Oryctolagus cuniculus: one gene and its partner. The protein of the gene in region 1 purifies or fractionates together with the protein of each later gene. This does not show direct contact. Links are inferred from orthologs where the notes say so. Each region holds a gene or a part of one and is shown on either strand. Other genes may lie near its edges.

The links.
Region 2: the proteins of SF3B1 (region 1) and ZRSR2 purify together in Homo sapiens (affinity purification with mass spectrometry; 3 studies listed by BioGRID and IntAct, counting the BioPlex papers as one, with this or other methods). This does not show direct contact. The link is inferred for Oryctolagus cuniculus from reciprocal best matches to the Homo sapiens genes SF3B1 and ZRSR2.

The regions. Positions count from the first base shown.
Region 1 is NC_091434.1:42,848,460-42,854,993, forward strand, and holds part of SF3B1 (splicing factor 3B subunit 1), read left to right. Parts: intron 1-2,151; coding exon 2,152-2,349; intron 2,350-2,445; coding exon 2,446-2,547; intron 2,548-3,333; coding exon 3,334-3,513; intron 3,514-4,774; coding exon 4,775-4,861; intron 4,862-5,324; coding exon 5,325-5,595; intron 5,596-5,864; coding exon 5,865-6,010; intron 6,011-6,104; coding exon 6,105-6,251; intron 6,252-6,396; coding exon 6,397-6,522; intron 6,523-6,534. UniProt on the Homo sapiens protein: Component of the 17S U2 SnRNP complex of the spliceosome, a large ribonucleoprotein complex that removes introns from transcribed pre-mRNAs.
Region 2 is NC_091453.1:1,927,516-1,934,792, forward strand, and holds the start of ZRSR2 (U2 small nuclear ribonucleoprotein auxiliary factor 35 kDa subunit-related protein 2), read left to right. Parts: upstream 1-2,443; 5' UTR 2,444-2,790; coding exon 2,791-2,831; intron 2,832-3,230; coding exon 3,231-3,310; intron 3,311-7,277. UniProt on the Homo sapiens protein: Pre-mRNA-binding protein required for splicing of both U2- and U12-type introns. Selectively interacts with the 3'-splice site of U2- and U12-type pre-mRNAs and promotes different steps in U2 and U12 intron splicing.

The sequences.
Region 1 (6,534 bases):
TGGCAGGAGCCAGGAGCCAGGTGCTTTTCCTGGTCTCCCATGGGGTGCAGGGCCCAAGGACTTGGGCCATCCTCCACTGCACTCCCTGGCCACAGCAGAGGGCTGGCCTGGAAGAGGGGTAACCAGGACAGAATCCAGCGCCCCGACCGGGACTAGAACCCGGTGTGCCGGCGCCGCTAGGCGGAGGATTAGCCTAGTGAGCCGCGGCGCCGGCCAAAGAATATTCTCTTTACCAGCATAGCTTAAGTTTATTTTGAACTATAACATTTTCTAGGTACCTGGTACTTAGCCTGTTTACTGGTTTAAAAGTAGTCTGGTTAGATAGCCTAGTGTTATAATCTGTGGACTCATCTTGTGAGACCCGTACCATTGGGGAGAGTGGAGCAACGATGTTCTTCCCCAGTAAGCACTGGGGACAGGCTTCAGTGAACATGTCTGTCTGTATTAATGACTGTGTACACTTTTAAAGGGCAGGCAGAAGGGGCATAACTAATTAAGGGCAAACAGTAACTATAGAACAGAACCAACACTGGGTGCCATTATGCCTCTCCAATCAGTTTGAAGGATAACCTTCCAGGTGGGCCTGGCCACACCCAGGAGCAGTTTACCTGATTGGCAGAAGGCATGAGTTGGGGGAAATGTGCCTGAGGCTCCCGCTGCCTGCCAGTAGTCAGGCTAACTGCATAGGCTAGGCAGGCAGTCGAAAGAGATCACTCACAGTGATCAAGGCCAGAACCTGTCATTTTAATACTTTTAGAGAGTCTTCTGCTAGTGACTTGCTTTTTTTGTGTGTTTTGTTTTTCACCTATGAAGTCTCTATGAGAATATAGAAATATATTTAGTGCAGTGGAGGATGGCCCAAGTGCTTGGGCCCTGCACCCCATGGGAGACCAGGATAAGTACCTGGCTCCTGCCATCGGATCTGCGCGGCGCGCCGGCCGCGGCGGCCATTGGAGGGTGAACCAACGGCAAAAGGAAGACCGTTCTCTCTGTCTCTGTCTCTCACTGTCCACTCTGCCTGTCAAAAAAAAAAAAAAAACTTAAAGAATATAGAAGTATATTCTATACATCTATATAATATATTATATAGTATATTATATAATATACAATATACTTTATATATTAAATAATTATATTAATTAATATACTCATATAAATTATATATTAAGTCCTTATTAGTGATTATAGAAAATAGATTAAGTCCTTAATGTAGACTGTTATCAGTGGACTGGACATGAATTTCAAAGGCCTCTTAACTGCATATAAATTGTACTTTATTGAAAATGGTTAATTATTGGTTCATCTTGGTTCATATACAACTAGCAGTAAATAAAAAGTGGTTAACTACAGATAGTATCAATATACATTTAGTAAAATTTAAGCTTTAAAACTTTTAGATAATAGTGTATGCTTATTTGAGAAGACTTCTAGGCCTATTGACATGCTCAGGAAGTTGTTTTTGTTGCTGTTTTTAAAGCTTTCTGCCAGCTTTAAGAAAATAGAAATTCTTTTGTTTTCAGCTTGCATTAAAAATTTTTTTTTACTGGTTTTGCAAAAGGTTTATGTATTGTACAGGACTTTTTTTTAAAGTATCTTGATTCCAATTTTTAATGCGATTAACTTATTTTTTGTAGAGTTCTTAAGATTAGTTCTTGTATAGGTTTGCATTTGCTTTTGTTCTGGTGCCAAAATATGCTTTTTGGTATAATAATAATGTAAGATTATTGCTATATGAATACTTATATTAGATATTACTTTGCTTTATAGCACTTTATTTGTATTCACTCACTTAGAAATTATAAAATCTAAGTAGTTTAGTAACTTGACAGGTTGATTCACTAGTATACTTATATAGACTAATACTTGAAAGTGGTCAGAATTTTTCACTTATTTTAGCCTCATTTCCTTCACATTCCTGGTATACTTGGTTTTAATTAGCAGATGAGAAATGGAAACATTTTTCATAAACATTTTAAATTGACATAATTAAAGATAGAAAAGCAGGGGATAGGATTTAGTAATTTTTTCCAAATAAGTAAAAAGCTTTCTAGCTATTAAAGTGTAAAATACATTAAGTGCAAATGTTATTCAATATGTGGTTCTTAAATCCATAAGGCTAGGACAAACCTAAACTCTTTCTAATTTTATTAGGTACTTCCCCCTCCAGCTGGTTATGTTCCTATCAGAACTCCAGCTCGAAAGCTGACAGCAACTCCAACACCATTGGGTGGTATGACTGGTTTCCACATGCAAACTGAAGATAGAACTATGAAAAGTGTTAATGATCAGCCATCTGGAAATCTTCCATTTTTAAAACCTGATGATATTCAGTACTTTGATAAACTATTGGTAAGTGATAATAGCATAATGAAATTAATATTTTTGGTTTGGGAGTTCGAATTATGGTATCTCAACATACCTTTAAAATTTTTTGTCTTTCTATAGGTTGATGTTGATGAATCAACACTTAGTCCAGAAGAGCAAAAAGAGAGAAAAATAATGAAGTTGCTTTTAAAAATTAAGAACGGAACACCTCCAATGAGAAAGGTGAATCCCAGTTGCTCATTATGTTCATATTTTTTTGTTTTAGATAATTACAGTTACCTTCTTGGTTTTTATCCAGGGATAGTGTAAGGGGAAAAAATGCATGTTTTTTTTTTAGTTTTTATTCCAAAAATCTTAAATTAATAGGAATGTTGAAAAAATGAGATTCTTTTTTTAAAAATCCTTAAGGCCTCTGTAATATGTTTCAGGCTTTAAGGCTGGTGAAATATGTGAAATATTATATTCTTGTGCTTCTACTAAATTACCATTTTTTTTTAATAAAAGATTTATTTATTCATTTGAAAGAGAGAGGAGAGGCAGAGAGAGAGAGAGAGAAAGTCTTCCATCCAATGGTTCACTCCCCAATTGGCCACAATGGCTGGAGCTGAGCCTATCTGAAGCCAGGAGCCAGGAGTTTCTTCTGGATCTCCCATGAGGGTGCAGGGTCCCAAGGACTTGGGCCATCTTCTGCTTTCCCAGGCCTTAGCAGAGAGCTGGAATGGAAGTAGAGCAGCCAGGTCTGGAACCGGCATGCATATGGGATACTGACGCTTCAGGTCAGGGCATTAACCTGCTGCGCCACAGCGCTGGCCCCCTAAATTACCCTTTTTAAATTAACTTTCTGTTACAGAAGTTCAAGTTCCAGAGTAGCTTGAATGGAAATAAACTTAGGTCACTATACAAACTGTAAAAGTGTGCAATATAAAGTAGAAAATCTTCCTGATGTAAACTGCTCACTCAAAATGCTTGTTACAAAGAAACCACCTTTTTCTCTACTTTTCCCCTCAGGCTGCATTGCGTCAGATTACTGATAAAGCCCGGGAGTTTGGAGCTGGTCCTTTGTTTAATCAGATTCTTCCTCTCTTGATGTCTCCTACACTTGAGGATCAGGAGCGTCATTTACTTGTGAAAGTTATTGACAGAATATTGTACAAACTTGATGACCTCGTTCGACCATATGTGCATAAGGTTTGTGATTTCCTGGAGTAGTGTTTCTAATAGTTTACTATTTTGATTTTTTAATATAAAAGAAATTCCACAAAAATTGACTTTTTTCACCAGATGATGTCTGTGGTATTGAAATTTTAAAAATTCTAAAAACGCAGCTGATTCTTTTCTTTTTTTCCTTAATTTATTTTGTTTATTTTTTTATTTTTATTTTTTTTAACTTTTATTTAATGAATATAAATTTCCAAAGTACGACTTATGGATTACAATGGCTTCCCCCCCATACCGTCCCTCCCACCCACAACCCTCCCCTTTCCCACTCCCTCTCCCCTTCCATTCACATCAAGATTCATTTTCGATTATCTTAATATACAGAAGATCAGCTTAGTATACATTAAGTAAGGATTTCAACAGTTTGCTCCCACACAGAAACATAAAGTGAAAAATAATAGATGATTTTTTTAAATGATGATGAAATCAGATCAGACCTATTGTCATGTTTAATCCCAGTCAGAGTCAAGTTGGGAGTTAATAATTTCTTTTTTTTTTTTTTTTTTTTTTACAGAGGATCAGTTTAGTATGCATTAAGTAAAGATTTCAACATTTGCACCCCCATATTTTGTTTATTTTAAAAGCAAAGTTATAGAGTGAGAGAGAGAGAGAGACTCCATCTGCTGGTTCACTCCCCAAGTGGCCGCAACAGCCGGGGCTGGGCCAGGCTAAAGCTAGGAGCCAGGTGCTTCATCTGGGACTCAGATGTAGGTGCACAGGCCCAAGTACTTGGACCATCTCCCGCTGCTTTCCTAGGTGCAGTAGCAGGGAGCCAGTGGAAGTAAAGCATTTGGGACTTGAACCAGTACCCATCCGGGATGCCAGCATTGCAGGCAGTGAACTAACCAGTTACACCACAAAGCTGGCCCCAAGTAGCTGATTGTATACAGTAAAAAGGGAAAATTTACTCCCTTGTAAGATGTTCAAAGCCAACCAGTTTTTTTTTTTTTTTAATTGATGTATTTCTAAACTGTGTTATTTGAGAATTAAAATCCATCTTTTTTCTGTTGGTAATTATGGTTTTTTAAACTTTTGAGTATTAGTTTATGTGGGTAATAGTTCTTAAAGTTTCATCTATATCTGAGATTTGAAATTATATATAATACACTTAATTTCTCCCTTGATTAAAAAATACTGTCAATTATAAGCTTGCTTTGTTTACTTCTGTTATGAGTGTAGCATCAGTAATTGATGTGAAAATGTAGTTCCTTTTCCTATTTCTCTTTTTCAGATCCTTGTGGTCATTGAACCATTATTGATTGATGAAGATTACTATGCTAGAGTGGAAGGCCGAGAGATTATTTCTAATTTGGCAAAGGTATTTACATTAAATTTTTTTTAAAGATTTATTTTACTTATTTGAAGGAGATACAGAGAGGTAGAGACAGAGAGAGAGAGAGAGAGAGAGAGAGAGAGAGAGAGATCATCCATCTGCTGGTTCATTCCCCAAATGACCACAATAGCCAGAGCTGAGCCGATCCGGAGCCAGGAGGTGCCTCCAGGTCTCCCACATGGGTACAGGGACCCAAGGAATTGGGCCACCCTCTGCTGCTTTCTCAGGTGCATTATCAGGAAGCTGGATTGGATATTTAGCAGCCAGGACTCCACTGGCACCCATATGGGATGCTGGCACTGCAGGCCAGAGCTTTAACCCACTGCCACAGCCACAGCCCCTAGGTTAAATTTCTAGAGAAGAAAGTTTATACTTATTGATGGGATTATCTTATTATGGGAGAGAGTTGAGGGTATTTGTGCTCATGAATACTTTCTTTTCTTTTTAGGCTGCTGGTCTGGCTACTATGATCTCTACCATGAGACCTGATATAGATAACATGGATGAATATGTCCGTAACACAACAGCTAGAGCTTTTGCTGTTGTAGCCTCTGCCCTGGGCATTCCTTCTTTATTGCCCTTCTTAAAAGCTGTGTGTAAAAGCAAGAAGTCCTGGCAAGCAAGACACACTGGTATTAAGATTGTACAGCAGATAGCTATTCTGATGGGCTGTGCTATCTTGCCACATCTCAGAAGTTTAGTTGAAATCATTGAACACGGTAAGCTGCAATATAACTGTCTTTTATGTGACATATGTCCTGAAATTTGGGCTACTGATTGAGCATAACTGCATAAGCCCATTTATTTTATGATGGGATTTATGATATCATCTAACAGGCTGTAGTTCCTACTGGCTTTTGCCTAATACTGTCTAACGTGAACAGATTTTATAGTTTGGCTAAATGGTTAGAGCAAGCTAGAATCTGGATGACATTTTAGAAATTAAGTAATGTTGATGCATAGTTAAAACCTGTGATTGATTTTATAGGTCTTGTGGATGAGCAGCAGAAAGTACGAACCATCAGTGCTTTGGCCATTGCTGCCTTAGCTGAGGCAGCGACTCCTTATGGTATCGAATCTTTTGACTCTGTGTTAAAGCCTCTGTGGAAGGGTATTCGCCAACACAGAGGAAAGGTAAATATGCTAGTTAGATTTTTTCTTTTGATTTCTATTCATTAAAGTTAAAGTGATACAATTGAAGTATTATGTATTTTTTATGTCGAAATAGGGTTTGGCTGCTTTCTTAAAGGCTATTGGATATCTTATTCCTCTCATGGATGCAGAATATGCCAACTACTATACTAGAGAAGTGATGTTAATTCTTATTCGAGAATTCCAATCTCCTGATGAAGAAATGAAGAAAATTGTGCTGAAGGTAACTGTTCCAGATGGTTCTGGATTTGTTAATCTAAACTGGGTTTGTTCTATGCTCCAAGGTATTTTAAGGCATTTTTTAGAAAAAAATGTATGTTGTTACCAGTACTGTATTTTGATTTGTTACTATTTTTTTAACCATTTAGGTGGTGAAACAGTGTTGTGGAACAGATGGTGTAGAAGCAAACTACATTAAGACAGAGATTCTTCCTCCCTTTTTTAAACACTTTTGGCAGCACAGAATGGCTTTGGATAGAAGAAATTACCGACAGGTGAACTTTAAT
Region 2 (7,277 bases), on another chromosome or scaffold:
CACACACACACACATACACACACAGAAGAATATTATTTAGCCTTTAAAAAGGAAATCCTGTAAAAGGTACAACGTGGATGAACCTTGAAGACAGTGTACCAAGTGAAATAAGCCAGTCACAGAAGGATACAAACTGTAGGATTCCACTCCTATGATGTCTATGAGTGAATTTTTGTTAGTAGATACAGAGTTTCAGTACTGTATAATGAAAAAGTTCTAGAGATCTGTTGAATGTGATTATATATATATTTTTTGACAGGCAGGAGTGGACAGTGAGAGAGAGAGACAGAGAGAAAGGTCTTCCTTTGCCGCTGGTTCACCCTCCAATGGCCGCCGCGGCCGGCGTGCTGCAACCAGCGCACCTTACCGATCCGATGGCAGGAGCCAGGTGCTTCTCCTGGTCTCCCATGGGGTGCAGGGCCCAAGCACTTGGGCCATCCTCCACTGCACTCCCTGGCCACAGCAGAGAGCTGGCCTGGAAGAGGGGCAACCGGGACAGAATCCGGCGCCCCGACCGGGACTAGAACCCGGTGTGCCGGCGCCGCCAGGTGGAGGATTAGCCTAGCGAGCCGCGGCGCCGGCGAATGTGATTATATTTAACACTACACTTAAAACTGCTAAGATGGTAGATTTCAAAGAATGGTAAAGATGAAAATTTTACCACAATTAAGTAAAAATTTAGTAGCAAAAAAAGATAGGGTTGGATTTCTATGTATAAATTTGGGGATGGGGCCAGTGCTGTGGTATAGCAGGTAAAGCTGTTGCCTGCAGTGCTGACATTGCATATGGGCACCAGTTAGCGTCCCAGCTGCTCCATTTCTGATCCAGCTCTCTGCTATGGCCTGGGAAACAGTAGAATATGGCCCAAGTCCTTGGGCCCCTGAACTCAAGTGGGAGACCCAGAAGAAGTTCCTGGCTCCTGGCTTCGGATCGGCACAGCTCTGGCCGTTGCAGCCATCTGGGGAGTGAACCAGCAGATGGAAGACTTCTCTCTGTCTCTGCCTCTGCCTCTCTGTAACTCTGCCTTTCAAATAAATAAATAAATCTTAAAAAAAAAGATGGGAACTTCTTACTATCTTGATTTTTACAGATGAGAAAATTTAGGAGTAGATGTAAGGAATATATTTAAGATCCTACATAGCCAATTCCCAATCGATTATATTCCAAAGCTTGTCTCCAATTACTGACACACTGAGCTGGACAAGGTCAACTTGAAGAAGGGGAACAGGTGTTATTCTAAATGTCTCAGTAGGAGGCAGTAGGGCAGGAATTATGCCAGATTTGCACATCAGATGGGTGATTCTAAGGAGGGGCTGGGGGGAAACAGGCAATTTAGTAATTAGGTATCTCAGCAATTTTAATTTGAAGGAGACAGGAACAAAGCTAAGTCAGGGACATTATTCAGTCACTCAAAAAAAATGGGAGAAGTTACTTTGCTGCTGTAATGTGTACTTGAGAGAAACATTTTTTCTTGGCCTTATACATGGGCCTTGTATGTGAACATCACAGTCCAAATATTAGTAGAGCTAGTTTTCACCTTCTCAATCCTCACTTTCATTGTCATAGTGTAATTCCTCATCACTTTGTACGTAGATTATTGTGATACTGTATTGCAGCTTTATCTTTTAATCCTTTAAACTACAAACCACAACAATTTACCTAAACCACAAAAGGGGTCACAACAGGCCACTACCTAAAAGCGTTCAAGAGTCCCCCATTACACAGAACAAATCTAAGTGCCTTAATATGGCATATCATTCCTAGCCCCAGACTATCTCTACGGCATTATTCCTTGATACTCTGGATTTGCAGTTTATATTGGATTGTCAAAATTCCTTCTGTTCGTATTGATGACTGCTACACCTCAGCAAGGGGCTTCGGCAACCTTTGATGCCATTTCCAAGACCTAGAGTTATCTGACCCCTGAGCTGTGCAGTGTTCACCAAGCCTCACTACCAAGAATTCACTGACTCTTGTAAAGAACCACACCAGAGCGTCTGTGCGAGGACCCAGGCTCTAGCTGTGGCTACACAAGAAAAACAGTAAATTAAGCCTGTTTGAAAAAAAATATCTTGCTGTTCTCAGAATATTATCAGTCCCTTTGCTTACTTAGTCTGATCTGCTTGCAACCCCATGGCCACCCTTCTTCACCTTGTTAAAGGCTATCTTCCTTCAAAACTGGAGCATCATAAATTGCCTGAATCCCCAAGTGGACTACACTTCATCTTTGCCTGCACCATGTTATATTATTTGTGTACTGGTCCTATTCTGTGCCCCCACAGTGAACTCCTTAGGGACAGAAGTTACACCTCCGCATCCCCAGGAGTTAGGTTCACTTAGGGCGCCAGTAGTTGTGAATGGATTTGTGTAAGGCAGTGATAGGTGAAGCCACGATGGGAGGTGGAGCCTGAAGGCAGTCCAATGGGAAGCGACGCGAGCAGCTCTGGGCGGAATGCGGCTTCGGGAACGGATGATGAGAAAGATGGAGAGGCCCAAGACATTGCACCATGGCGCAGAGGGAGACAGTGAGAAAGCAATGGGGAAGCTCTGTGAGCGAATAATTTCCAGGGCCGGGAAAGAACTCCGGAGCACTTTTTCCGGAAGGACGTCTTTATCTGGACAGGGTTTTGGCAGACGAGCCACAGAAAGGAACCCCATGCCCTGAGTCTCGGGTCCGCGCGAGCCGAGGCTTTGTTCCTTGTGCGCCTGCGCGCGCCCCCGCTGCTCTTAAGCACGCCTTTTCCGGCCAGGTCTTGGGGGGAGGGGGAAGGCGGAGCAGCATTGGCAAAGATGGCGGCGCCGGAGAGTGTGATGTTTTCCGAGAAACGTAGGTAAGCTCTGCCGAGGGAGGTGAGTTGGCAAAATAGGGGGATGCAGCGGGCCGAACCTGGGCACGGAGAATATACTCACAGGAAGGAAAGGAGCTGGGCTAAGCGAGGGAGCCAGCGCAGCAGTTCGAAACCTTTCTGGGGCTCGCGCTGAACTGTCATGGGCGTCCGTGGGCTCAGTGAGTTGAGGAGGGGAACAGGTGGCGGGTTGGAGAAGAGCTGGAGTATGGGCGTGGAAGGACAGAGCCATGGGAGCTCCGTGTTCTGCAGTTAACGGGGAACAAGACTTCTCTCCCGAGCGATTTGCTGTAACTGGTCCTAGAAGAGAGCGAACTCGGGCAGCGCTGCAGTTGGGGCCGCTGACGCTGATGCTGTGTGTGATGGTGAATCTCAATCTTCCAGCCACAAAAAGTACAGGGCAGCTCTGAAAAAGGAGAAACGAAAGAAACGGCGGCAGGAACTCGCGCGATTGAGAGACTCAGGTAGTGAACTCTTTATCCTGTTTGCTTCTTTTCCTCCTGCCCTAACTTCATAACGCACTTTCAAAAGGAAGTCAGGCTGTGGCTCCTGCCTCCCAGCTGTGTTAGCTGTGTCAGAAACAATGTTAACGAATTACGGAGGGGGAAAGTCACAAAGAGTTAACACTTACTGATGCTGCTTCAGTGTTTATAAAGTAATGTTACAGGGGCAGTCAGCATGAATTACAGTAGCTAGGACAAACCTTGCACATAGGAAGTAGTCAGTGAAAGAAACTTTTTTCTTTTTTGGTTAAGTCAGCAGGAGTCCAGCGATTTAGTTAGACATTTTGCAACTTTTACTCACAGTTGAGTAAAATAAGAAACCTTATATTGGTCTCAAACTACTATATTATTTAAGTGTTTATAAGCATAAAACTAGTGAAATTTAATAGATTATACAATAATACATTTACTTAAAAATTATAAAACCAAATGAAATTACACATCTTAGAATTAAAATATGCATTAATGTAATGCTAGGATGACGTGAAAGATGCTCCCTACAGCATGCATATGATGCTGATGAGAATTTGGAATGCTTCTATGATGGTTGGCCTATTGTTTTGTTTCAATTAAACTGTAGCAGAATCTTCAGTTGTACAGCTGAACATGATGTCATTTGGCCTTCACATGGCAGAACCTAACATTTATGTATTATACCTGCCTGTTTAATACAATAAAATTATGATTTAGTTAAAAGATTATATAATAGTTGTAAATGCAGCTGGGGTCACCGAAATCACACAGCAGTAGTGCTTTATAATGGTTGCCATCCAGATTATTCAAATATGCTAATTATATTAGCCTAGACAATTTTTAAGATTTTATTTTTATTTATTTATTTTTAAAGATTTATTTATTTATTTGAAAGGCAGAGTTACAGAGACGTAGAGGCAGAGAGAGAGAGAGAGAGAGGTCTTCCATCCGCTGGTTCACTCCCCAAATGGCCTCAACGGGTGGAGCTGGGCCAATACGAAGCCAGGAGCCAGGAACTTCTTCTGGGTCTTCCGCTTGGGTGCAGGGACCCAAGCACTTGAGCCATCTTCCACTGCTTTCCCAGGCCACAGCAGAGAGCTGGATCAGAAGTGGAGCAGCCAGGACTCTAACTGGTGTCCGTAAGGGATGCCAGCACTACAAGTGGTGGCTTTACCCACTACACCACAACACCGGTCCCTCTTTTTATTTATTTTTGTCATTTGAAAGGCAGAGTGACAGAGAGAATCTTACATCCACTAGTTTACTCCCTAAATATCTACAACACACAATGGCTGGAGCAGGGCCAGGCCAAAGTTAGGAGCCCTGAACTCAATCTGGATCTCCCATGTGGGTGATAGGGGCCTAAATACTTGAGCCATCTTCTGCTGCTTTCCCAGGTCCATTAGCAGGAGCTGGATGAGAAGTGGAGCAGCAGGGACTTGAACTGGTGCTCATATGGAATGTGTTGTAGCTTAACTCGCTGCACCACAATACCAGCCCCTGTTACATTCCCTTAAGGTCACTTCAGATCTGATCCATTTTTCCTCCACTTTCACTGTTTCCTCAAATTTAAGTTTTGAATAGGGAATGATATTAATTTTTATTGTATTAAAAATCATTTAATGGGGGCCAGTGCTGTGGCATAGTGGATAAAGCCACTGCCTGCAGTGCTGACAGTCCATATGGGCGCCGGATTGAGAACTGTCTACTCTACTTCTTTTTTTTTTTTTTTTTTTTTGACAGGCAGAGTGGATAGTGAGAGAGAGAGACAGAGAGAAAGGTCTTCCTTTTCGCCGTTGGTTCACCTCCAATGGCCGCCACAGCTGGCGTGCTGTGGCCGGCGCACCACGCTGATCCGATGGCAGGAGCCAGGTGCTTCTCCTGGTCTCCCATGGGGTGCAGGGCCCAAGCACTTGGGCCATCCTCCACTGCCCTCCCGGGCCACAGCAGAGAGCTGGCCTGGAAGAGGGGCAACCGGGACAGAATCCGGCGCCCCGACCGGGACTAGAACCCGGTGTGCTGGCGCCACTAGGTGGAGGATTAGCCTATTGAGCCGTGGCGCCGGCCAATCTATTCCACTTCTGATCCAACTCTCTGGTATGGCCTGGAAAAGCAGTAGAAGATGGCCCAAGTCCTTGGGTTCCTGCTCCCACGTGGGAGATCCGGGGGAAGCTCCTGGCTCCTGGCTTTGGATTGGTGCAGCTCCAGCCGTTGCGATTATTTGGGGAGTGAACCAGTGGATGGAAGATGGATCTCTCTCTCTCTCTTTCTCTCTCTCTGCCTCTGCATCTCTGTAACTCTGTTTTCAAATAAAGAAATAAATCTTTAAAAAAAATGGGACTAGTCTCAGTGTTACCAAAAAAAAAAAAAAGAAATCATTTAGCTATATTTTTCTTAAAGTGTCTTAGTGGGCAAAATTTAAAAAAATTGTATCATAAATATCCATTAATATCCATTAATCCTTTAGATTTGCCAGTTGTTAACATCTGGCTTTACTCCCTCTCTGTTTATATGGAGAGATAAATACATAGGGAATTTATTTTCTGAACTCTTCATAGCAGGTGCAGATGTCACAGCACCTCATACCTGAATCCTTCAGCCTGCATCTCCTAAAGAATGAGAATGTTCTCTCATAGACCCACAATATCAAGCTTGTACCTAAATAAATGCACAGTGATTCAGCGATATCACATAAAACCTATCATTAACCTTCCCCCAAATGGAATTGATTGTTTTGAAAAGCTCAAGCTAGTTTTCTTGTGGAATGTCCTGCATTGTCCATCAGGCTATCCTCTCATGAATAGCTTAAGGTTACACTTTTCGTGACCAAGTCCTACAGTGCAAATGTTGTGAACGTCTTGTTGCATACATTATGAAGTCTGTACACTCTTAGTGATGCTGAGTGTGGTTAAAGTGTTGCTCCATTGTCAGGGTGCATTTTCTCCATTGCAATGAGTTTTCATCTGTGGGATGATGTTTTGAGATGGTATAAATATTCTCTTCTCAACAAGCTTTTATCTAAATATGTCTTAAGTTTATTACTGTGGGAGTTGTAAAAGTGACTTTTCTATTTAAGTCTTTTTGTGTTTTTTAGTTGTCATTCTGTGAAAATGATATTCCTTCCCATGCCTCACCACCTTTCTGAATATCACTGTGGAACCATTGATTGATTTTTTAATTTACTCGTTATCCCACTACCATTATTATTATTATTATTAAGAATTATTTTTTATTTGTTTGAAAGACAGAGTTAGAGAGGCAGAGACAGAGAGAAAGAGGTCTTCCATCTGCTGGATCACTCCCCAAATGGGCCCAGTGGCCAAAGCTTAGCGGATCTGAAGCCAGAAGCCAGGAGCTTCCTCCGGGTCTCCCACATGGGTGCAGGGGCCCAAGCACTTGGGCCATCCTCTGCTGTTTTCCCAGGCCATAGCAGGGGGCTGGATTGTAAGTGGAGCAGCCAGGACTCAAACCAGTGCCCACATGGGATGCTGGTGCTGCAGTTTGGGGCCTCAACCTGCTGCACCACAGTGCAGGCCTCTATTATTATTATTTTTAAAGATTTATTTTATTTATTTGAAAGTTACAGAGAGAGGTAGACAGGTTTTCCACTTGCTAGTTCACTCCCCAAGTTACCACAATGGCTGGAGCTGAGCTGATTTGAAGCCACAAGCCAGGAGCTTCTTCCGGGCCTCCCATGTGGGTGCAGGGGCCCAAGCACATGGGCCATCCTCCACTGCCTTCCTGGGCCACAGCAGAGAGCTGGACTGGAAGAGGAGCAACCGGGACAGAATCCGGTGCCCTGACCGGGACTAGAATCTGGCGCTCATATGGGATTCCGGCGCTGCAGGCGGAGGATCAGCCAAATGAGCCACGGCGCTGGCCCCCATAATTTTTTTTCTAAGATTTATTTATTTATTTGAAAGTCAGAGTTACACAGAGAGAGGAGAGGCAGACA